Rattus norvegicus: one gene and its partners. The protein of the gene in region 1 purifies or fractionates together with the protein of each later gene. This does not show direct contact. Links are inferred from orthologs where the notes say so. Each region holds a gene or a part of one and is shown on either strand. Other genes may lie near its edges. The genes, in order: Ap3m1, Ap3b2, Ap3s2 and Rabl6.

The links.
Region 2: the proteins of Ap3m1 (region 1) and Ap3b2 purify together in Homo sapiens (co-immunoprecipitation; 3 studies listed by BioGRID and IntAct, counting the BioPlex papers as one, with this or other methods). This does not show direct contact. The link is inferred for Rattus norvegicus from reciprocal best matches to the Homo sapiens genes AP3M1 and AP3B2.
Region 3: the proteins of Ap3m1 (region 1) and Ap3s2 purify together in Homo sapiens (co-immunoprecipitation; 3 studies listed by BioGRID and IntAct, counting the BioPlex papers as one, with this or other methods). This does not show direct contact. The link is inferred for Rattus norvegicus from reciprocal best matches to the Homo sapiens genes AP3M1 and AP3S2.
Region 4: the proteins of Ap3m1 (region 1) and Rabl6 purify together in Homo sapiens (co-immunoprecipitation; 3 studies listed by BioGRID and IntAct, counting the BioPlex papers as one, with this or other methods). This does not show direct contact. The link is inferred for Rattus norvegicus from reciprocal best matches to the Homo sapiens genes AP3M1 and RABL6.

The regions. Positions count from the first base shown.
Region 1 is NC_086033.1:3,301,578-3,306,978, forward strand, and holds part of Ap3m1 (AP-3 complex subunit mu-1), read left to right. Parts: intron 1-1,221; coding exon of another isoform or gene 1,222-1,224; coding exon 1,225-1,497; intron 1,498-2,173; coding exon 2,174-2,345; intron 2,346-5,401. UniProt on the Homo sapiens protein: Part of the AP-3 complex, an adaptor-related complex which is not clathrin-associated. The complex is associated with the Golgi region as well as more peripheral structures.
Region 2 is NC_086019.1:144,833,144-144,838,544, forward strand, and holds part of Ap3b2 (AP-3 complex subunit beta-2), read right to left. Parts: intron 5,247-5,401; coding exon 5,180-5,246; intron 5,089-5,179; coding exon 4,906-5,088; intron 4,822-4,905; coding exon 4,538-4,821; intron 4,387-4,537; coding exon 4,332-4,386; intron 3,968-4,331; coding exon 3,896-3,967; intron 1,792-3,895; coding exon 1,729-1,791; intron 1,412-1,728; coding exon 1,279-1,411; intron 945-1,278; coding exon 835-944; intron 1-834.
Region 3 is NC_086019.1:143,261,290-143,266,690, forward strand, and holds part of Ap3s2 (AP-3 complex subunit sigma-2), read right to left. Parts: intron 2,723-5,401; coding exon 2,631-2,722; intron 1,916-2,630; coding exon 1,804-1,915; intron 1-1,803. UniProt on the Homo sapiens protein: Part of the AP-3 complex, an adaptor-related complex which is not clathrin-associated. The complex is associated with the Golgi region as well as more peripheral structures.
Region 4 is NC_086021.1:28,802,096-28,807,496, forward strand, and holds part of Rabl6 (rab-like protein 6), read right to left. Parts: intron 4,361-5,401; coding exon 4,257-4,360; intron 3,122-4,256; coding exon 2,793-3,121; intron 2,573-2,792; coding exon 2,422-2,572; intron 1,598-2,421; coding exon 1,388-1,597; intron 1,298-1,387; coding exon 1,030-1,297; intron 658-1,029; coding exon 486-657; intron 1-485. UniProt on the Homo sapiens protein: May enhance cellular proliferation. May reduce growth inhibitory activity of CDKN2A.

The DNA of each region.
Region 1 (5,401 bases):
AAAGGGTGTATTTGGCTTAACCGTCCTAATCATAGTTATCCATTGAGGGAAGTCAGGTCAGGAAATAAAGAAAATGCAGAGGCAGGAACCATGGAGGAACAGAGGAATGCTGCTTAGTGGCTTGCTCAGCTTCTCACACCACCCAGGACCACATGCCTAGGGCTTATACCACCCACCATGGGCTGGGTCCTCCTATATTTATCATTTATCAAGAAAATGACCAACAGATATGCCCACAGAACAGTCTAATGGAGAGAATTCCTCAATTAGACTTTCTCTTCCAGATTTACCTAGATTGTGTCAAGTTAACAGAACTAACTGGCATATATTGTATATTATACTGATTAACTATCTTGTGTTAAATAAACTTGCATTCTTGGAATTAACTGTATTTTTTAAAAAATAGTTGCTGAATTTAGTTTTCTAGAATTAAGAACTTTTCCATCTGAGTTCTTAAGTAATATTAATCTGCTATTATTTACATTGCCTTTGGTTTTTATGTCAAGGCAATGTGACAATGATATTTTTTCATTTAATATATTTTTATTATATTCTTTCTCCTTCCCCTACCCAGGTCCTTCCCTCCTCCCTACCTTTCCAACTTCATGTTCTCTCCCCTTAAAAATGAAAAGGAAGAAAGAAAATCAAATAAAAAACACAGTAGGACAAAAAAAACAAAACAAAACAAAACAGAATGTGTATACATACATTCACACATACACAGAGTCATCCTTGTGTTAGCCAACTACTCCTGTGGATGGTGCCTACCCTACCCAGTGATACTGTATTGGACAAAAACAATTTTCCCTTTCCTAGCATGTATCAGTTGCAAACACTTCTTGGTTAGGAGTAGGACTTTGTGTCTGCGTCCCTTTCTCTACCCTGGGGTTTTTGTCTAGTTTGAATTTGTGGAGGTCTTTGTGTGGTGTCAGAGTCTATACGAGTTCTTATGTGTATCATCTCTGTTGCGCCTGGAAGATATTGTTTCTTTCCTTGGAGTCTCCACCACTTCTGGTTCTTGGACTCTTCTCTCCTATACACAGTTCCCTGAGTCTTGAGGGGAGGGGTTTGATAGACCTCCTATTTCAGGCTGAGTGCTCCAAAGTAACTCTCTGTGCTTCATCCAGTGGTGAGTCTCTGCATTCACTGCCATCTACTGCAACTGTGCATTTTCAGAGTACAATAAGTATAACCTCCAGCCCCCTTTGTTTTCCTTCACAGAAAATGATCCACAGTCTATTTCTCATCAACTGTTCTGGCGACATATTTCTAGAAAAACACTGGAAGAGCGTTGTAAGCCAATCTGTGTGTGACTATTTCTTTGAAGCTCAGGAGAAAGCTGCTGATGTTGAAAATGTACCACCTGTCATTTCAACACCTCACCACTACCTCATTAGTATCTACCGGGATAAGCTCTTCTTTGTGTCTGTGATACAGACTGAAGTGCCACCTCTCTTTGTAATTGAGTTTCTGCATCGAGTTGCTGACACTTTTCAGGTTTGTATCTGTCAAACTGTTGAAACTAAATCACCCAAGATAGTTCAAGGAGACAGACAGACAGACACACACACACACACACACACACACACACAAACACACACACACTGGTTATTGAAGTTTCTGTGTACTGTCTGACTTCTCTTTGCAACTAAACATATCTCATAAACACGTGCTGAGGGTATACGGTAGCACACATCGCCACTCTACTCATTGTTTTTTATGTGCGGCAAATTATATCATGAGGAGACAGGAGTGCCCTCCAACAAGTATTCTCTGGATCATCACAAAGTTTTTATTGATCATGAGATCCTTTATATTTCTGTTGTCTATTTCCTATTGTTTTGACGAGTAAACCAAATGGCTTAAAGCTCTGTAAGTGTGTGGGTGTGGGTTAATAGGGCAAATGAAGTTTATGCCTCACATTCCAGATTAATGTCTCAGTACTTTCTGGCATGATATAGTAGGAATCAGCTCAGTATAAATACAATAAGAAAATATTGAAGAGAAATGTTAGGACTTCCATAGAGAATTTTTTTCAAGCCTATATATTTCTAGCCTCATTAACCATGAGTTAACCTACTATTAGTTTACTCCAGTAGTTTACAAAGGGGATTAAGAACAGCAAGCCTTCCTCCCTGCCTTCTCTTGTTCAACACCATGACTGTTTTGTTAGGACTACTTTGGTGAGTGTTCAGAGGCTGCAATTAAGGATAATGTGGTCATAGTGTATGAGCTCTTGGAAGAAATGTTAGACAATGGATTCCCACTGGCTACCGAATCTAACATTCTGAAAGAACTGATTAAACCACCAACAATTCTACGTTCTGTCGTCAATTCTATTACAGGTATGAAAAATGAAAACACTGCTAGGAACTGATCCATTGAAACTGTATGAACAGCTCATTTTGCTCATATGACAGACTATTAGGGCAGTCCAGTTTGGCCAAAATTAAAGTTAACAATAATGTTTAAATGAATGTATATCTCTTCTCTCTCTCTCTCTCTCTCTCTCTCTCTCTCTCTCTCTCTCTCTCGGTGTGTAAGTGTGTGTGCACATGAATGCACACATGCCATAGTGTACACATAGAGGTCAGAAGACAGTGAGAGTTGGTTCTCCCCCTCTACCACATGCAATCTGGAGATTGAATCAGGTCCTAAGGCATAGCATCAAATGCCTTTACCCACTGGCCCATCTGGCCAGGCCCCCTTTTCTTTTGGAAGGTGGAGAACAGTAACAGAAACAGATAATATGTCAGGTGCAGCTCACATGTGTAATCATATCACTTGGGAATTGCTAAGTTCAGGGCCAATTTGGTATATAGAATGAGAAATTTGTTTTGTTTTGTTTATTGAAAGAGGCTCAGTCTTGAAGGACAAAGGACTTTTAGGGTTATACAGCTCATTTTCCTGTTGCTGGGTTCAATGCACAATACTTCAGAGAAAGAAAAACTAGTCAGTAGAAAATTAGATCATTAGTAGATGTCATGCATATTGGGCCTTATGCTTTTTTATAAATAAGCTTTCAATTGGGTATAATTCTAGGCCATATCTAGAAATTCAGTATATTCAGTTCATCCTTCGATTAAATCTACAAAAAGCGGGCATGGTGGCACAAGCCTTTAATCCTAGCATTCAGGAGAATTTGAGACCAGCCTAGTCTACAGAGTGAGTTCCAGGCTAGCCAGAGCTACATAATGGGATTCCATGCAAAAGAAAAAAAAGTCTAATAAAGGAAGATTCTTACTGAATGCTATATACCTCTCCAGCCAAATCTCTGGTTGTCCTTTTAACGTTGGGGAATTACACTCTGGGAAAACGGTTTAAATAAGAGCACTGTGGTATTTCATGGACACTGTAGTGAGGCACTGCAGATCTCTCACAGTACGAAGTGTGTTTGGTGGGGGAAACAGTACAAACTCGATAGATACATAGGTAGGTAGGTAGGTAGGTAGGTAGGTAGGTAGGTAGGTAGGTAGACAGACAGACAGAGAGATAAGTAGGTAGACAGACAGGCAAGCAGACAGACAGAGAGAGAGATATTTACAAAGAGAAAAATGCTAAAATGTTCACATTGACTATTTTTAGCTAAGGAGCCAGCCATCCTCATTTTTGCCGTATATGTTTTAAAATATATATTATGAATGTGTGCATGTGCATGGAGGACATTAGGTGTCATGTTCTGTTGCTCTCACCCGAGTTCTTTGTTGAGGAGAAGAGGTCCTCTGAACCTGGAGCTAGGTTGGCTCCCAGCCCTAGCCATGTGCGGCACATAGCCACATCCATCTTTTTATGTGTGTCCGGGGATCTGGCAGGTCCTCATGTCTGTATAGCAAGCACTTTTATCCACTGAGCCATCTCTCCAGCCCATTTCATACTTTTTAACTTTTAAGAAAAAAAATGGATAGGAAAAAATTACTAATGTGTAGTGTAAAACTATAGCATGGGATGATGACATATAAGAGAATTGTTCAGGCTGGATGTGGTGTGCACACCTGTTATCCCAACTACTAGGGCAACTAAAGGAGAGCAGTTGTAAGTTCACGGATACAGAGTCTTGATTATTAAACTAAAACCCTGAGTCTGTTTCCTAGTGCCACACCTATGTACACATACCAAAGAATGGTTCAATAGTTGAAGTAATCTTTCTTGAACTACCAAGTGGCCCTAGCACAGGACCCAGCAGAATCAGTAGAATGTGGAGTAAGATAAGTAAGAGCACTTATGAGGAAAATACACATAAAGTGGGAGGCTGAGCTGTGTCAGCCCCTCGAGCAGAAGTAGAGCTGTTCATAACTGAGCGCTGAAGGACATTCGGAGAAGGTGCAATTGGCCTACGCCTCTTCCCGTCCCAGCAGGACAGGAAGCCAAGATGGGAGAACACTTGTGCTGGGCCTAAAAAAAACATTTAACTTTTATCAGAAAACAAGCAGGGAGCACTAAAGGTTTCTGAACAGGGAAATAATATGATTAAAGCAGTGTTTTTCTAAAACACTTGGAAAGTAACAGGCTGGAGACAGGATCACCAGCAATAAATAGACTAAAACTAATGTTAATCTTGTTAGCTGCACACACTTCTCTAGCATTTGGGGGGCTGATGTGGGAGGATCCCCAGTTCTAAGCCATCCTGGACTATACACATATCTTGTCTTTAAAAACTAATCTAGAGTGGAATGTATTGTGTTGCTGTGTAGTCAAGAATGACTGAATTTGCAATCCTCCTGCCTCCACTTCCTCACAAGTGCTGGGGTTAAAGTACACACTCCACCATTCAATGCTGGACTTAAAACAAAAGGTTTTATGCATTCTAGGCAAACACTCTGCCTGTTACATCTCCAGCCCTGAAACCATATTTTATGTTTGTGAGGTGCTTTTGTGTGTATTTTGTTTTGTCTTTAGAGACAGCTCTCCTAAGCGGCTCAGGCTGGCTTTAAACTAGTGATGCCTTGGCCTCCTAAGTGTTAGAATTACAGGACTGTGCTCCCTGTCTTGTTTCCTGTCCTAATTTTTTATTTATTGCTTTATGAAAACGGGTTTTACCGTGTAGCTGTGCGTGGCCTGGAACTCACTCTGACCAGGCTGGCCTCAGACTTCCTGTTGTTCTCTTACTTTGTCTCTCAAATGCTAGGATTACAAATTCCAGCCCTACACCTGGCTTTACAGCTGTAAGAAAATCATAATTACCAAAATAGAAACACATTGGTAAATGCTACTTATGGGGGGACTATTTAAAGAAACATGCCTAAATGTTAACAGTAGCTGGTGTTAGTAATAGGAAACAGATTTTTGTTGTTGTTTTATAAATTTACTGCTTTTTACTGCTATGCAAATGTGTTACTTCTGAATTAAAATGTAAACTAAACAAAATGTTTAGTAAATCTCAGTGGAAGGGTCTCTGTTGAGA
Region 2 (5,401 bases), on another chromosome or scaffold:
ACAGAGTTCCTAAAGTTAGCCACGGTTTTCTAACTTTATTGCTGTACTGCCATGTCAGTCTGCCTGAATCTCCAGTAATGGCATTAGGGATATTTCAACCCAGCCTCACAGCAAAAACACAAGGGATTAATCAGTCAGCCATCCTTAGTCAGAGCGTTGGTGGGAAAACGGAATGGTGGGAAGGGCTAAAGAGCTCTGTGAGGGAGCCCATGAGGATAGTCTTGAACGTGGTCATGCAGTCTAACCTCTCTCCTTCTCCCTGAAGAAGGTCCAGTGCCCATTTGGAGTTTGATCTGGGTGAAGTTAAAGCACTGAGTTACAGATTCTTAAAGTCATGGGCACACAGCTAGAAAGATGGCTCAGAAACTAAGAGCACTTGCTGATCTTGTAGATGACCCAAGTCCAGTTCCTAACACCCACATTGGGCTGTGCACAATTGCCTGCAACTCTAGAGCCAGGAAATCTGAAACCACTGGATTCTACAAGTCACTGGCACATCTGTGCACATACTCCCCCAACACACACATGCACACACACACACATACACACATACACACACACACACACACACACACACACACACACACACACACCCATGAGTTTAAAGTAAAATAAATCTTTAAAAGGACATTGGCTGGGTGTTAGTAGTATATTCCTTTAATCCTAGCACTCAGGAGGCAGAAGCAGACAGATCTCTGTGAGTTCAAGACCAGCCTGGTCTACAGAGTGAGTGCCAGGACAGTCAGGGCTACACAAAGAAACCCTGTCTCAAAATAAACCAAACCAAAAGGAAAAACAAATATCAGGGGGATACTGTCAGGGCTGCTCCCTCACCTGGATGTTGTCTGTGAGTTTTGCCAAGTGTTTGATGATCTCGCCGTGCTGCGCTGGCTGCATTTGCAGCAGCTTCTTAATGACCACCACTGACTCAGCAACCACAAGCTCTAGGGGATGGGAATGAGAACACAAGCCCCAGACCAGTCAGATGGCCACACCCAGTTCTCAGGCAGCCCTCGGTTACAGCAACACCTGCACACTAACTGAAGCAGACAAACCAACAGGTTCACATTGTACCTAGACACGCAAGGGGATAACCACTGGCCAGCAAGGTCAGGCATGCAGGCACACAGACACCACCAAGACTGGACACTTCTAGGGGTTGGGGATTTAGCTCAGTGGTAGAGCGCTTGCCTAGCAAGCCCAAGGCCCTGGGTTCGGCCCCCAGTTCCGAAAAAAAAAAAAAAAAAAGACTGGACACTTCTCCAGGCAAACACTAACCATCACGGTTGGACAGAAGCTGCACCAAGCCATTGAGGCAGGTGTCACGGACTCGGCCTATGTTCGTTGCACATCGTCCGATGGCCTGGATCGTGGCCGCCACAAAGTCTTTGTCCATGCTGCGAATGTAGGTCTATGGACATCATGACACAGTAACATCTAGTAAGTAGTGACTACACAGTGAAGAGTTGAAGGGTGACCTTCAAGCAGACGAAGACTGTAACCCCCCTCGTATGATAACTCATTAAGCCTTGGGGGACAGTGATGTCTCCAAACCACATCCAGGGCCTAAAGCCAACAGAAGGCACTGAAAGGGGTCTAAGGAAACATTTCTCCAGCTTTGGGCTCTTTCAGAAAATGAGACCCAGCAGGGAAATTCTCACTAGATGCAGGGATCTGTAGGGCACCTCTCCGGGGCCTGGGAGCTAGAGGTTAGCCCGTAGCCTGTACCTGGAATTCCCGTAGAACAGTGGGGATGTTGGTCTCATTGGCCAGGTTGGTCAGCACTTCCAGCTGCAAGGAGAGGTAGAGGGGCAGAAAGTGGCCAGTGTGGCCAGCAGGTTTTCTGGGATTTTATTGCAAACAAACTTTACAGACTAGGAAGCAATACTCAGGACCGTTCTGCCCGTGCTTAGAATGACGAGGAAATGCTAGATCATGAACCGTCTTCAAAAACACAAGAAGGTCAATTTGCCTCCTCAGTGAAGTCCCTGACAAAGTACAGGTGAAGAAAGGTCACGCTGCCTCCTCCCTCCACGGAAAACTATTCCTTTGAGGACAGAAACCAAGGATGATCTGTGAATCTCTGGATGACCTGACCGTTCCTGCCTCAGAGTAATCGCAAACGCTGTTCCGTTTGTATGGAGCAGTTCTTCCCATTCCTGACCCTGTACTTAGGTAACTCACATCCGTTTATCAGGTCTCAGCTTGGAGTCCATCTTCCCAAGGAACGCTTCCTTGATCCAAATGATGGTGGCCCCATTCTAACTTAAAAAAAATTGTTTTTAATTTTCTGTGTATTGTTTTGTCTAAGCACCATGTGCATGCAATGCCCGCAGATGTCAGAGGAGGGCATTGGATCCTCTGGAACTGGAGTTACAGGTGGTCATGAGCCCGCATGTGAGGGCTAGGAATGGAACCCTGGTCCTGTGGAAGAGCAGCCAGCGCTCTTCAGCTGAGACACTGCTCCAGCCCTGATGTCTATTTATATTTCTCTGCACTCTTCGCTCTTGACATATTTCACAGATGGGTTTTCTCCATTTATCTTGGGATTAACTGCTTACTGCCTCTTTTGCCCCCCAACAAGACTACAAGCTCAATAAAAGCAGGATCTCTGACTCAGTTCCTTCACCTTGAATCCCTATGCTAACACCTGTTTGTTGCTGCTGTTTTGAGACAAGTGTCTCAAGTAGTCCAAATTGGCTTTGAACTCCATATGTGGCCAAGAATAATCTTGAATTTCTGATCCTTCTACTCCCACCACCTGAGCGACAGGATTATAGGCCTGTGCTACCTCATCCTGGTCATGGGATGCTTGGTATCAAACCCAAGGTCTTGTGCATATAAGCAAGGACTCTCCCCAGACCCCTTGGGTCCCTGGATCTAGTAACAGAAGTAGCAGCAGATGTGCTAACAAGTGAGAAAGTTGGTCACTGTTCGATGCCATCACTCAGTAAAAAGGCAATAGAATGGGAAAGGAACAGAGGCACAGGCTCTCAACACTGCCTGTTGGTGTATGTGTTCCAGAAAGTCTGAAGGGGCAGGTATGTGAGAGGCAGAACTGCAGAGTATGATGACTTCACACTAGTAACATCACTTCCTGGAGTCTACAATTTAAAATATAAAATGTAAGCGATACAGACTTTTGGGGGTGATTATGAAAATTAAGTTATTCTGGGAAGTGTCTGGTGCATACCACGCAGGCAGTTGTGTAACAGTTTCCTCCAAGACGGAAACATTCCACCCTGCTGGAAGCTCCTAGGGCAGGAAGGTAAACAACTCACAACAGCTTCAAGAAGTCCCTGAAACTGATCAGATTCTCTAGGCCCTGCCCTTCCACAGCAAGCGGATTAAGAGAGGCTGAGCTGCCAAGACTCAAAGGCAGCTCTAACTAAGCTGCAAAGTAGACTCTCTCAGCCAAGCTGAGCTGCAAAGACTCTCAGACCAGAGGAAGCAACAACCTGTGGAGCTGCCTGCAGGCTGTGCTGTGTGCTCCAGGTTCCCAGCTTTCCTGAGCTGTCCTCCATGCTGAGGTGGGCCTTGGTAATGCAGCCATTTTTGAGTGATTTCTGCTCCTGTAAGTAACCCCTCACTCCATACTCTTATAAGTAACGGCCCCCAAAAAAACCCTCATTGGTTCACCCAAGTTGGACTTGGGTAGTATCCGTACTTTGACTTCCTATCTGGGGTTAGTAGGCATGTGCTGCATATCCCCAGAAAAACATGTGTCAGGCTGATAAGCCAGGGGTAGTTTCCCACCACCTGAGCAAACACTTTCAGCCTAGAGATGTGCGCTGCTCCACAAAGAGGCAGGTGCCAATGTGTTCAGTATCAGTTAATCCAGCTAGTATTCAACCAGTTTAGCTGGAATCAGAGTCAAGCACAGTCTTGCACTCACCTTCAGGATCTTGATCTGGGTAGGATCCGTGGACCTAATGTAGAAGCTCTTCAAGTAGGGTTCAAACATTCCCTGGCAAGAGAGAGTATTCTTGGGGCTCTCCACCACAGTCCTAGATCTGCCTCTTCCAGAGACATCTGCCCCTCCCACCACAGACCCCACGACCCTTCAGCCTCAACGCTGTCATCTTTGCCTCAAGTTCCCCATCCATCTTAGATCTGACTTTCTCTTTAGGCACCGCCCCCCCCCCAGTGGCCCCTTCAGAATCTAGACCCTTCTGGTTTGCGTTTGGGACTCTTGAAAAACCTAGACCCTGCACACACAGGGTAATTGTAATTCCCCCATCTTTCCCTACAACCCTGCTCGTCCCACCCCAATTCCCACCAGCTCCCACAGAGCCCGCAGGAGCCAGAGCAGACCTTGAATGCATGCTCACCCTGCGCTTGATGGACATGGTGGCCACATTCTGGAGCACTACGTACTGCACCTCGCTGTGGAGAGGATGAGTTAGAGGTTTCTGAACCCCTCGGATGGGGGCAGGGGCGGTGGGTCGGGGAAGACGGGCTAGACAAAGAGTTGGGAGGAAGGAGCTGATGGGAGAAAAGCGGGATCTGGCGGCGGAGGGGGCGGGGCTTCCCGCACCTGTGGCTGCGCAGCAGGCGAACGAGAGCCTTGGCGATGACGCCCACCTCTGCCTTGGGCGCCAGGTGGAAGTAAAGCTGTGCCACCGCCATGACCACGGCGGCGCTGCGGCTCTGCAGTAGCGGCTTGGTGTTCCGCAGCAGCAGCCGGTGATCTGGATCCATTACATAGGGCTTCCGAGCAGGCAGCGCCGCAGTGGCCGCTTCCTCTGATCCAGGGCCTTTGGCCTCGTCCTCCTCAGAGCCATAGAAGGCCTTCTCAGGATTCTCCTCCAACAAAGACTCCTGAAAGAGATACGGCCGAGTGTGTGAACATCTTCCCTGGATGACCTCCCGCCCCTCCCTGCAGGGCTGGGGCCTCGCGCTTACGTTCTGCGTAGGGCTCAGGAACTGCGTTCGTGCATAACGCGTGAGCATGCTGATGATCACCACCTGGCCCCACTCCTCCACGTCGATGAGCAGGTTGCAGAGCTTCCGGTAGTTTTTGTGAATCAGGTCGATGCGTTCCGGACAGACCTCTTCAAAGGCCATCACTACACTGCCTGCCACCAGCTGGAGAAGCAAGGCAAGAGGATGTGAACGGGAAGGGTGGAGGACTCGAACCCTTCCCACCACTCCTCGTCCTGTCTTCCATAATACCCACCGTGGTCTTGTCTGCCAAAAGCTTCTCAATGACTTCTATCAGCTGGTCCTTCTGATCAGAATCCAAACTGAGGGAGAAACAATCGCTGGGAATGTCTTCCCTCCTGTCCCCAGGCTCCCCGACAGCTGCCCTAGCCATGCTTACACACACGTCAAGAGATATGAGTCCCAGGGTTGGGGATTTAGCTCAGTGTTAGAGTGCTTGCCTAGGAAGCTCATGGCC
Region 3 (5,401 bases), on another chromosome or scaffold:
TGCCCCTGTGCTCCCTGTAATACCCCTGCCTTGGGCACCATGCTCCCTGTAATGCCCCTGTGCTCTCCATAATACCCCTGCCTTGGGCACCGTGCTCCCTGTAATGCCCCTGTGCTCTCCATAATACCCCTGCCTTGGGCACCATGCTCCCTGTAATGCCCCTGTGCTCCCCATAATACCCCTGCCTTGGGCACCGTGCTCCCTGTAATGCCCCTGTGCTCCCCATAATACCCCTGCCTTGGGCACCGTGCTCCCCGTAATGCCCCTGTGCTCCCCGTAATACCCCTGCCTTGGGCACCATGCTCCCTGTAATGCCCCTGTGCTCCCCATAATACCCCTGCCTTGGGCACCGTGCTCCCTGTAATGCCCCTGTGCTCCCCGTAATACCCCTGCCTTGGGCACCAGGCTCCCTATAATGCCCCTGTGCTCCCCGTAATACCCCTGCCTTGGGCACTATGCTCCCCATAATGCCCCTGTGCTCCCAATAATACCCCTGCCTTGGGCACTGTGCTCCCTGTAATGCCCCTGTGCTCCCCATAAATACCCCTGCCTTGGGCACCATGCTCCCTGTAATGCCCCTGTGCTCCCCATAATACCCCTGCCTTGGGCACCGTGCTCCCTGTAATGCCCCTGTGCTCCCCATAATACCCCTGCCTTGGGCACCGTGCTCCCTGTAATGCCCCTGTGCTCCCCGTAATACCCCTGCCTTGGGCACCAGGCTCCCTATAATGCCCCTGTGCTCCCCGTAATACCCCTGCCTTGGGCACCATGCTCCCCATAATGCCCTGTACTCCCCGTAATGCTCCTGCCTTGCCTCCTGAGGGCTGGGCTGCACCACCACTGTGCTCACCTGTCAGCTTCCACTCTGTTGTGTAAGAGCTGCTTTTGCTTCCTGTGCACCTTTAGACTCTTCGTTACGAGGACCCCAGTTCTTGGAACTGGTTATGAAAGTAAACTAGGGAGTAAGGCACTATGTATGTTCCATGCCCTGGCTTTAGGCCGCCATTGCAAATAAAATTAAAATGTAAAATACTTAAGATTGGGGAGATGGCTCAGTCTGTAAAGTGCTTGCTGCACAAATAAAGGCCGTGAGCTTCAACTTCCAGAACCCAAACAAAAAGCCTCTGCAGCAAATCCTGGCAAAGGCTGGATGATGCCCAGGATCTGCTGGCAAGTCTAGTCTGTCTAGCAGGTCAGTGGCTCCAGGTCCAGTGAAAGACCCTATCTCAGACAGTAAGGTGGAGAGCAAGTGAGGAAGGCACCCACTGGCCTCCACAGTATCTGCACAAACACAAGTCTTGCACACAGGAAGTGTCTTGCACACAGGAAATATAAATACATAAATGTAATATGGTTTCAGAGCGGAAAGAAAATTCAAAATATTAATAACCGAGGGCAGTGTGAAGGCTGGGTAGGAACCACCATTCAAATCGAAGTCCCGGAAGGTTCTCAGGCCTTTTCCCAGAGCACCACCTGGTGGACGTCTGGAAACTTTTTTTTTTTTTAAAGATTACTATGTATACAGCATTCTGCCTGCATGCATGTATGCCTACAGGCCAGAAAAGAGCAACAGATCTCACTATAGATGGTTGTGAGCCACCATGTGGTTGCTGAGAATTGAACTCAGGCTCTCTAGAAAAGCAGCCAGTGCTCTTAACCGCTGAGCCATCTCTCCAACCCCTGGTAACTCTTATGGACATCAATGAGACTGAAAAAAAAAAAGACCCAGAGGACAGTTACTGAATGCCCCCATCCCCACGCAAACTCAGAGAGTTGTTGCCATTAGTCTGTGACTTCACATACCTGGATGAGGTCCAAGATCCCAAGTTCACTCTCTGATGAATCCACACAAAACACGAAGTAGAGGGTAGCATAGTGCCGGTAAATCAGTTTGTAGTCAGAGCCACCAATCAAACTGTGGGAGACGGCAGTAGCAGTTGAGAACCCAGGTCTTAAGTAAACTTATCAAAGAACGGGAATGGGCCTAACAAAGAAGAGCGGGCATCTCCACATGATGGCAACTGAGTGTGGAAGGGGAGCTTGAGGCCCCTTTACTCCATTGTCACCCTTCTCTTGCCTATCCTGCCAGTGACCATACAGAGTGATGACCAGGGGCTGCAGAGATGGCTCAGAGGTTAAGAACACTGTCTGCTCTTCTGGAGGATTCAGGTTCAATTCCCAGCACCTACATGGCAGCTCACAACTATCTGTAAACTCCAAATCCAGGAGATCTGACACCCAATGCACATAAATTAGAAATAAGTTATATAAAAAGAGAAAGAAAAAATCTCAGTGATGGCTGAAGCTCAGTGCAAGTGTTTCCCAGGAATCAGGCGTCTTCCTGGGCAGCTCATGCTAAGAGCAGGTTACTTGGGTCTGGTGTAGCAGTGCACACCTGTAATCCTAGCACTATGAGGCGAGCAGACCTGAGTTCAGGGCCAGTCTGGACTATACAGAGAAACATGGTTGTGTTGGACCCTCACTCCCAGCCCCCACCAGACAAAAGAATAGGTTATGCTGCATCAGGTAACCATTGACCCCCGCAGTACTAGAAGAAATGAAAACAACCAAGGCCACCCAACGTGGAGCTGGGGGAGGAGGGAGACGGCCACCTGAAGCTGATGGTTTACCTTCCACCTTCTAAGAAGTTACAGATGTTGTCATCTCGCTTGAGGACCAGGTGGAAGGTCTCTCGAACAATCTGCTGTTGAATTTCTTCTGGCTATGGAACAACAACAAAAAAAAAAAATCAGGGGGCAGATGAGGAAAACGTGCACCTATCAATAAGAGCAGATAGGTAAAGAAGGGATTCTGGGCTAGAGAGATCAGCAATGAAGAGCGCTGGGTACTCTTCCAGAGGACCCAGGTTCAATTCCAAGCACCCACATGGAGGCTCACAACTGCCTGTAACTCCAGTTCCAGGGAATCTGACACTCTCACACCAATGCACAATCAATCAATCAATCAACCAATCAAGGGGTTCCAAATGGGGCACAACTGGAAAAGCTCATACATAAGCACACAAAGCACACAGAAGGCAGAGAGTGACTATGGGGAAAACAAGGTTACAGTGATTAACGTGGGCTTATTTACCTAGGTATTTCAGTCACGAGCCTTTATATCTTACAGACAAGCTCAGAGTCAAACAAGGAATTGGAATTCATAATCTCACAAAATCCTTAAATCTTTTTTTTAATCTGACCCCAATCCTCTGAATAAAATCAATACTGGGTATGTAACGAGTCTCAAAGCTCCAGAACTGTATGAAGGTCAAGATGTAATCATGCACATGTCTCAAAGATAAATTTGTCACTTTTACTTAATACCAGTACTACATATGAGATGTTGCTTTACTCACAGACAAAAGATTACTGGCAAAACAGAAAATGTATTTATAGATCTGATTTTGGGACATCTAAACAAAACCACAAATAAACTCTTTTCATTTAATAGTCACTTGTAATCTTGAGAACCTCAATGGTGAATGAATCACATGTTAAATCACATTTGATTTCCATTTATATGTAAGGGTTTTATAATAGGTACAGCATACTTTTTTTTAAAAGCCATGCATGGTGGTTCACTCCTGCAAGGCCACCTAAGACAGGACAGTCACTAAGTTGAAGGGCAGCCTGGTTTATATGGTAAAGTTCAGGCTATCTCAACAAAACAAGAGGGAAGAGTGGGGAGGGGTAGAGAGGAGAGGAGAAAGGAAACCCACTGAGTAGACCATGTGTGTAATCCCAGCACCTGGGTAGGTAAAGGCAGGAAGAAGGTGAGACCCTGTATAAGGAGGTGGGAAAGCAAGAAGTGGCAGTGCTTTAATACCAGCACTTGAAGAAGCAGGTGGATGGATATCTGTGAGTTCAATGCCAGCCTGGTCTACACAGTAAGTTCCAGGTCAGTCAGGGATACAGAGTGAGCCTGTCTCAAAACAGACAGGATAAGGAAGAAACCAAACAGAAACTAGGTAGTTAAAATATCTAAATCAGAACCTGGGAAGTAGTGGTGCATGCCTTTAATCCCAGTGCTTGGGTGGCAGAGGCAGGTGGATTACTGTGAATTCGATGCCGGCTTGTTCTACAGTGAGTTCCAAATCAGCCAGGGCCACAAAGAAAAACCCTGTTTTGGAAAACAAACAAACAACAACAAAACCCTCTAAATCAGGAACTGGAGAACTGGTTCAGCCATTAAGATTTGTTGCTCCTACAGAAGACTTGGGTTCAATTCCCAGTAGCCAGGTGATGGCTGACAACCATCAATAAATCCATTTCCAAGGGATTCATGCTGACTTCTACTCTTCAAGGGCACCAGGTACACATGTGGAACACACATGCATGCAGGGAAACACTCATACATTTAAAATAAATAAATCTACAAATAATATAAACCCTCTGGCCAGTCTTCCCACATGAGGCTGTGTGATGAGTTGGCTGGGGATTGTGTTTAAATGTGGTTCTGCTTTAATCCGCCTGGGCTGGGACCAGAGTCTGTTTTGTCACGCTCCCACAAACAGCAGTGCTTCAGGTCTGGGGACTATACTATGGACTGAACAGGATAAGAAAAATGTTCACCTTGAATCTTCCTTAAACCAAAAAGACACATTAAAAAAATTTTAATCCCTTTTGTTCTACACCACTGAGCTTAGCTTTGAAGTGGCCAGTTCTTTAAAAGCCATTAAGGGAGGCACACCAAAAAACAGGGGACTAATCAGTGAGAGAGTTCCTTAAAAGCTATTGGGGGCCACAAAAAATAAAAGGGGGACTGATTCACTGAGAGGAAGTGGCTGCCTCAGTGTGAGTTCTGAAAACCTCTCAGTATCTACTGAATGTATGAATGCAAACTTGCTAATCACTGGCCCACAAATGGGAACCAATCAATCACTATCTTCCTGGTTTCCATGTGAACAACACAGCAAGCTCACATTTGCTAGGGTGTTGTCAAAGATTAACTCTGTGAGCTCAGAAACACAAAGTCCACTAAGCATCAGCACTTACTTAAACTAACAAAACATCTTTTCAACTAAAGTCTTTATCTACCTATAGATGGAACTGTCAAAAAAACCCTGAGGATGGGGTGGTGGTATCAAAGAATGAAGCCAACTACCTGGCTCAACGAAAGGGCAAACTACGGACGGCTTACACGCCCCAGTTACTTTAACAACCTGTCCTATCTTTTTACTACCCTGCAGTTTTCAAGGGAGTTTCACTCAAGCAGTTCTTAAACAATTCTATGATCTTCAGAGATATACAAACAGCCAATAAGCACAAGACAGGTGCTCAGCATCCTTAGTCACTATGGAGACAAACATTAAAACCATTTAAAAAGGAGATCCATTTTCATCCACTAAAATGCCTTTAATTAAAGACAACATGGCTAGGATTATATAGCTCAGTGGTGG
Region 4 (5,401 bases), on another chromosome or scaffold:
CTGACAGTAACAGTCCTAAGCTAAGCTGTCTGCTGGGGCTGAGTAGGCCCAAGTCCCTGGGCTGTAGCTCCAAGCACTTCTCCAGGAAGCCTGGGTCTGAGGTTCCCAGGAATTTTCCCTGTTGTAACCTTTATTAGCCTGTGGGTTTGTCTGTCTGTTTGTTTTTTTCTCCCTTTCTCCTAAAATCGTTCTGCCCCACAGGCTTGGGACACCTGAAAGCATGGAATGTTGGCAGAACATTTGGAGAGGTGAGGACCCATAGGGAACCATGGATAGAGTGTGACAGTCACAGTCTTAGGTGACTATTCAGGACCATATTTGGGTGCATGTTTGCCAGCTGGTGTGACAGTTTCACCTCTCACAGCTAATGACTATGACGAAAGAGAAACCATAGGCAGTGTAAATTCTAAACATAGGAGCACCACAGACAAGGCCTCCAAGTCCTAACAGGTTCCAAGGAGAGGGGCAAACCCAGGCCCTCCTACCTTCCTCACTGCTTTCCTTGGGTCCCAGCTCCTCCAGGCCCAGCCCAAAGAGATCTGAGTCATTCTTCAGCCTGAAAGCAGGGACTGGGAACTTGGAGGGTGGGGGTGGCTGAGCAGGGCCAGTATCCTCATCAGTTACATCAGAGAGGTCTTCTCTTACTGGGAACCTGCCCTGGAAAGAGAGCAGTTGGTAGGCCTATTGTCCCCTGACCACTACATGGGATCTGGGAAGAGAGGTTGGCAAGTCCACTTCGGACTCCAGGGGCTAGGGATGGGGCCAGATGGGAGGGGCTAAGCTGACCCAGATTCAGAAATACCAGCAGTGCCTTCATGTAGACAATGGGCCCCCTCCCATGAACTCTCATTCACTTTCTCCATCAGGCTTCAGACACACAGTAAATAAGAAAGGGCTGTGCAGTGGGGAACTGGAGCCCAGAACATTCTCCTGCATCTCCTCAGACCCTCCTCTGGGAAACAGACCTTGACTGTCCTCCATCTCTCGAAGGATGGAGCCCGAGCTGCCCACGCAGCAGCCTCTCCTTACCACTCTCTTCTGGGTGTCCGACTCATCGCTTTCAAAGTCAGGGTCATCCATGACAAATGACAGCATCTGGGCAGCAATGGGACCCTCAGGATCGCTCTCTGATGACACCTGTTTGTCCTTCCCTTCCTGGGGTCTTTGAGAACCATCAGTGGGTGGCTTGGTACTGCTGAGTTCGGGCCCCAAGCCAGTGCTAAGACCATCTGACCACGGTGTTATGCCTCGAGTGGGGGCTCCCTTCTTTTGTGGATGTGAGGCCTTGGTGGAGGACCTTCATATAAGAAGAAATGTCAGGAGCTCTGAGGCCACTCTGGGCTGCCACCACCTCAGCTGGCCACACTCTGGGAATCCCAGCCCATACCATTTAGTCTCAGGCTCTGAGCACTGCTGAGGAGACACTCTGGGGTGGCCAGCCAATCCTTCAGCTTCCTCCTCACTTGAGAGACTGATGTTCTTACTGGGAATGGGGTCTGAGGGCAGCAGGGATTGGCCATGTGGTTGGTCTTCTATGTCCACATCATCCTGGAAACCTGCCACCATTGGGTTCCCTCCTAGGGCCTCTCCATCATCACTGCAAAGAAGGACTGGCCATCAGAAGTTCTGAGGGGGCTGTGTGTTGCTGATCACCCACCCGACTCGCTGCCTCTAGAGCTGCCCTGTCTGTAGTACCACATTCCAGTGGCAAGAGCTTCTGGGCATTCTGCTGAGAACAGGTGGACTAAAGAGTGAGGAAGGTACTGCCTGTTGCTGGCCAATGAGGGAATCAGTGGGAGGAGTCCAGAAAGAAGCCTCTAATTTGTTTGTTTCTGGAAGGGAAGCTTGGTCCCATACAGAATGGTGATGCTGGAGACAGTAATAGTCTTTCAACATTTGATGTGTTAGAGGGAGTAGACGCAGGCTTAACTATAGACAGATGTTGTTTAGAGAGGGGGTTGTGAGAAGGGCTAGCTGCAGGAAGTCAGACCTGGCCAGGGCCTGTTTCTCAAGGTCTGGAGAACCAGGTGACTTTTGCTATACCTCAACATAGACTGGGGCCTCAAGAGGCCTATGTCCCTGGTAGGCCATCTGCCAAAGCTCCTGCTATCCTAGAAGACTCAGCTCAATGTTCAGCTGTAGTTTGCTGTGGTCATAAACTCTGTCCTACTCCTGGGTAAGCTGTTTGTCTGTATTCCCAGGGCGGCTGGCAGTGATCAGCCGGAGTGGGCTTTGAGATGATCTAAGCCCTTCCCTCATTTCTTCCAGCCATAGCTTTCGTCCTCAGAGCTGACTGCCAACCTTGCAAGCAGCAGAGAGCTGTGTCCACAACCCCAATGGTGTCTCTAAGGTCCAGGTATGAATGGGATGGGGAAGCTCTGTTGGCTGGTCCTTGAGCTGTTATCAATTTTTTACCCTTACCTGTCACTATCCTGCTGTGGCCCTTTGGCTCCAACTTTCTTGTCTTTAGGCACGGTTGTGTCTTCCAGGAAGCTTCGGTCAAGGCCATCTTCAGGGACAAAATCCTCAACATTCTGGACTCTCACTGGAGCCTCTAGGGCTGGAGCTGGCTCTACAGAGAAATGCTGCTTCCTTCTTATTTGGTCCTCCATGCTAGGCAAGCCCCAAAACTGTGCCTGAAGGATTGGGACTTGGCTATTTTAGAACCAGGCTAAGGAGTGGCTGGTCCATGTGGCTTTTCAGGGGCACAGGGACATTCAGGTGAGGAATAGGAGGCTCAAAATGTCAGAAGGTGGCCCCAATTCACACACAAGAGCTGCTCCCAGGCTTACCTGGAGGTGAAATGGTCGCTTCTGCAGCTGGTGAGGTCCCAAACAGCCGAGAGATGATACTGCGGCGCTGGGCTGGAGCTGGGGCTGGAGGGTGTACAGAGGAGGGCGTGGCCTCCAAAGAGGGTGCAGGAGATGGTGCTGAGGGACAGGTGGAGGAGACACCTAGAGACAGCTGAGGGGCAGGCTGGGGTGTGCTGGGGCTGGAACTCCCTGTGGATACAGCACTTGGAGGCACGACTGGCGACTGGGAGCCTGAGGATGGGCTCTGCCCGTTGGCTGCCAAAGGAGATGCATGGCCTCGACTTCGAGCCTCCATCATTTCAAGGAAGCTGGGAGGGTAAAAGGGCAGGGAGTGAGGAACCAGTTTTTTCTTGGCCCTCTCTCCATGGCTTTCAGGTCTCAGTGTGCCTTTTATATTGATACTATTAGGCAGAGGACATGGTCCTCTGCCAGTCCACTGTCCCAGCCTTTGGTACCCAGACCACTCCCTTGCCTATCTTGTCTCTTTAGCATGGCTGCTCCCAAGGACATGCTCTCCCTCTACTCGGGCACTTCTTCAGCCTGGGGACCCGAGTTGCTCAGCAGAGGTTCAGGACCACTCATGCCTATGGGATCCGGGCAGGCCAGTAGCACTCGGCAGTCCCCACATGGCCAATAGGGATGAAGAAGTGGGACTGGTTATGGTTAGCGAGGTGGTCAGAGCATGAGCCACTGGAGTTCTGTTTAGGAAATTTCCCCTGTGCCAATGAGTTCAAGGCTCTTTCCCACTTTCTCTTCTATTAGATTCAATGTATCTGGTTTTATGTTGAGGTCCTTGACCCTCCACTTAAGCTTTGTGCATGGTGACAGATATGGCAACCTGAGAAGAGGAGTGGCTCTCATCCAGGCACGTGCTGATCCACACATAGGAACAATACCACAGGTCTAAGCACTTTGTAGGTTCTGTAGGCTCCAAAGTACTTGGTGGTGGAGAGGGCCAGAGCTGACACAGCCCACCTTCAGGAGCATGTGCCCTTACTTTCTACAAGAACTGAAAGGGAAATGTAGGGAGATTGAGGCTGTTCCTCAGGTCAGCATAGCTCAGTTCAAAATATTAATCTACTTGTTCTAGACAAATGTTGATCTGACTAAATATTTTACTAGTTAGCTCATATTAATAACTAAACCCCAATAGATGAACAGGAAGAGCTTTGGGCAGCATGGACACGTCCTAGAAGGCTGAGAGGAGCTGCTGAGCCATGTTAGTCCGATGCGTCCCATACTGTTCTACACTGAGTAGTACCAAGGTCTTGGCTGAAGGACACTCAAGCTGACTGTATATGCTGCTTTTTCCACTGCCTCATAGGTACAGCCCAAAGCTTGGCCCCGGCTCCTATTTGTGGACATGAGGCAACAGGGTGTAGGACCCATCCTTCCCACTCCATGTAGTCAGGGCCTACATGGCATAGACGCTGGCTCACGTACATGCTGTAGTTCTGGTCCTCGGTCTCCTGCTGCACGGACAGCTCCTCTAGTGTTGCATCGATGTCTAGTTGGTTTGTCTCCAGCTGCCTCAGCAATGTCTCCCTCTGCAGAGGAAGCGGACATAGCTGAATATGCCTCTTCCCCATTCTACAGCCTGTCTCTGTCAGAGACCCGAGGTCTGGCTGCCTGCAAGGTCAGCTTCATGACTTGGAGGATATAAGCCACGTGGAGCTACACCAGGAAGTGCCGCCTGCTGTTCCGAATCTTTGGTCACTAGCACTTTTGTTGGCTACAATACGTATCAGGCCACAGAAGCATGGAAACAGGTGCTTACGGTGTCTGTGGAGCTTCAGGGGCAACTTTAGGTGAGAAACTCTACCAGGTACTAACTGGGTAAAACATGCATTTCTAGTTTGATGAACAAAGCTGATCCAGCTGCCATGGCTGTCAGTCAACATGGCTTATTGCATTAAAACTTAATCTTAAAATACAGCGGCTTCTAGGCTGTGTAAGGAGCACAGAACAGGACTGTGTTCCTAGAGAGGCCCTGGTGGACAAGAGGCACTGCCTGGCTTGTCCCAGGCTCACACTGGGGTCCTTTCAGCACAGAGCAAACAAACCAAATGAAAAAAGTGGGAGTTAACTGCAGACCAAGAGACCTGGGGTTTGTTTATACTTTGAAAAGTACACACAGACAAAAAAAAAAAAAAAAAAAAAATGGGGTTGGGGATTTAGCTCAGCGGTAGAGCGCTTGCCTAGCGAGCAAGGCCCTGGGTTTGGTCCCCAACTCCGGAAAAAAAAAAAGTACAAAGAAATACACAAGAATGATGCAGTCGACACTCAGGACTAACAAGCAGGCATGCCTCAGACTCACGAGGGCTCTACTTTAAAACTGAACATGTGCTACACTAAGAAAAGCCCAGATGGCCACATCACATACATTGTATAGTCTATTTAGATCTTACCCTGAATACTGACCAGTAACTGGTGATTTAAATAATTGTAGGTGCTTTTCTCTGTGTAGCCCTGGCTGGCCTCCAACTCAGAGATCCACTAACTTCTGCCTCCTGAGTGCTGGGATCAGAGGCGTGCATCACCATACCCAAGACGTTCTGATATTTTCATGCCCACATATGTCTAAGTGA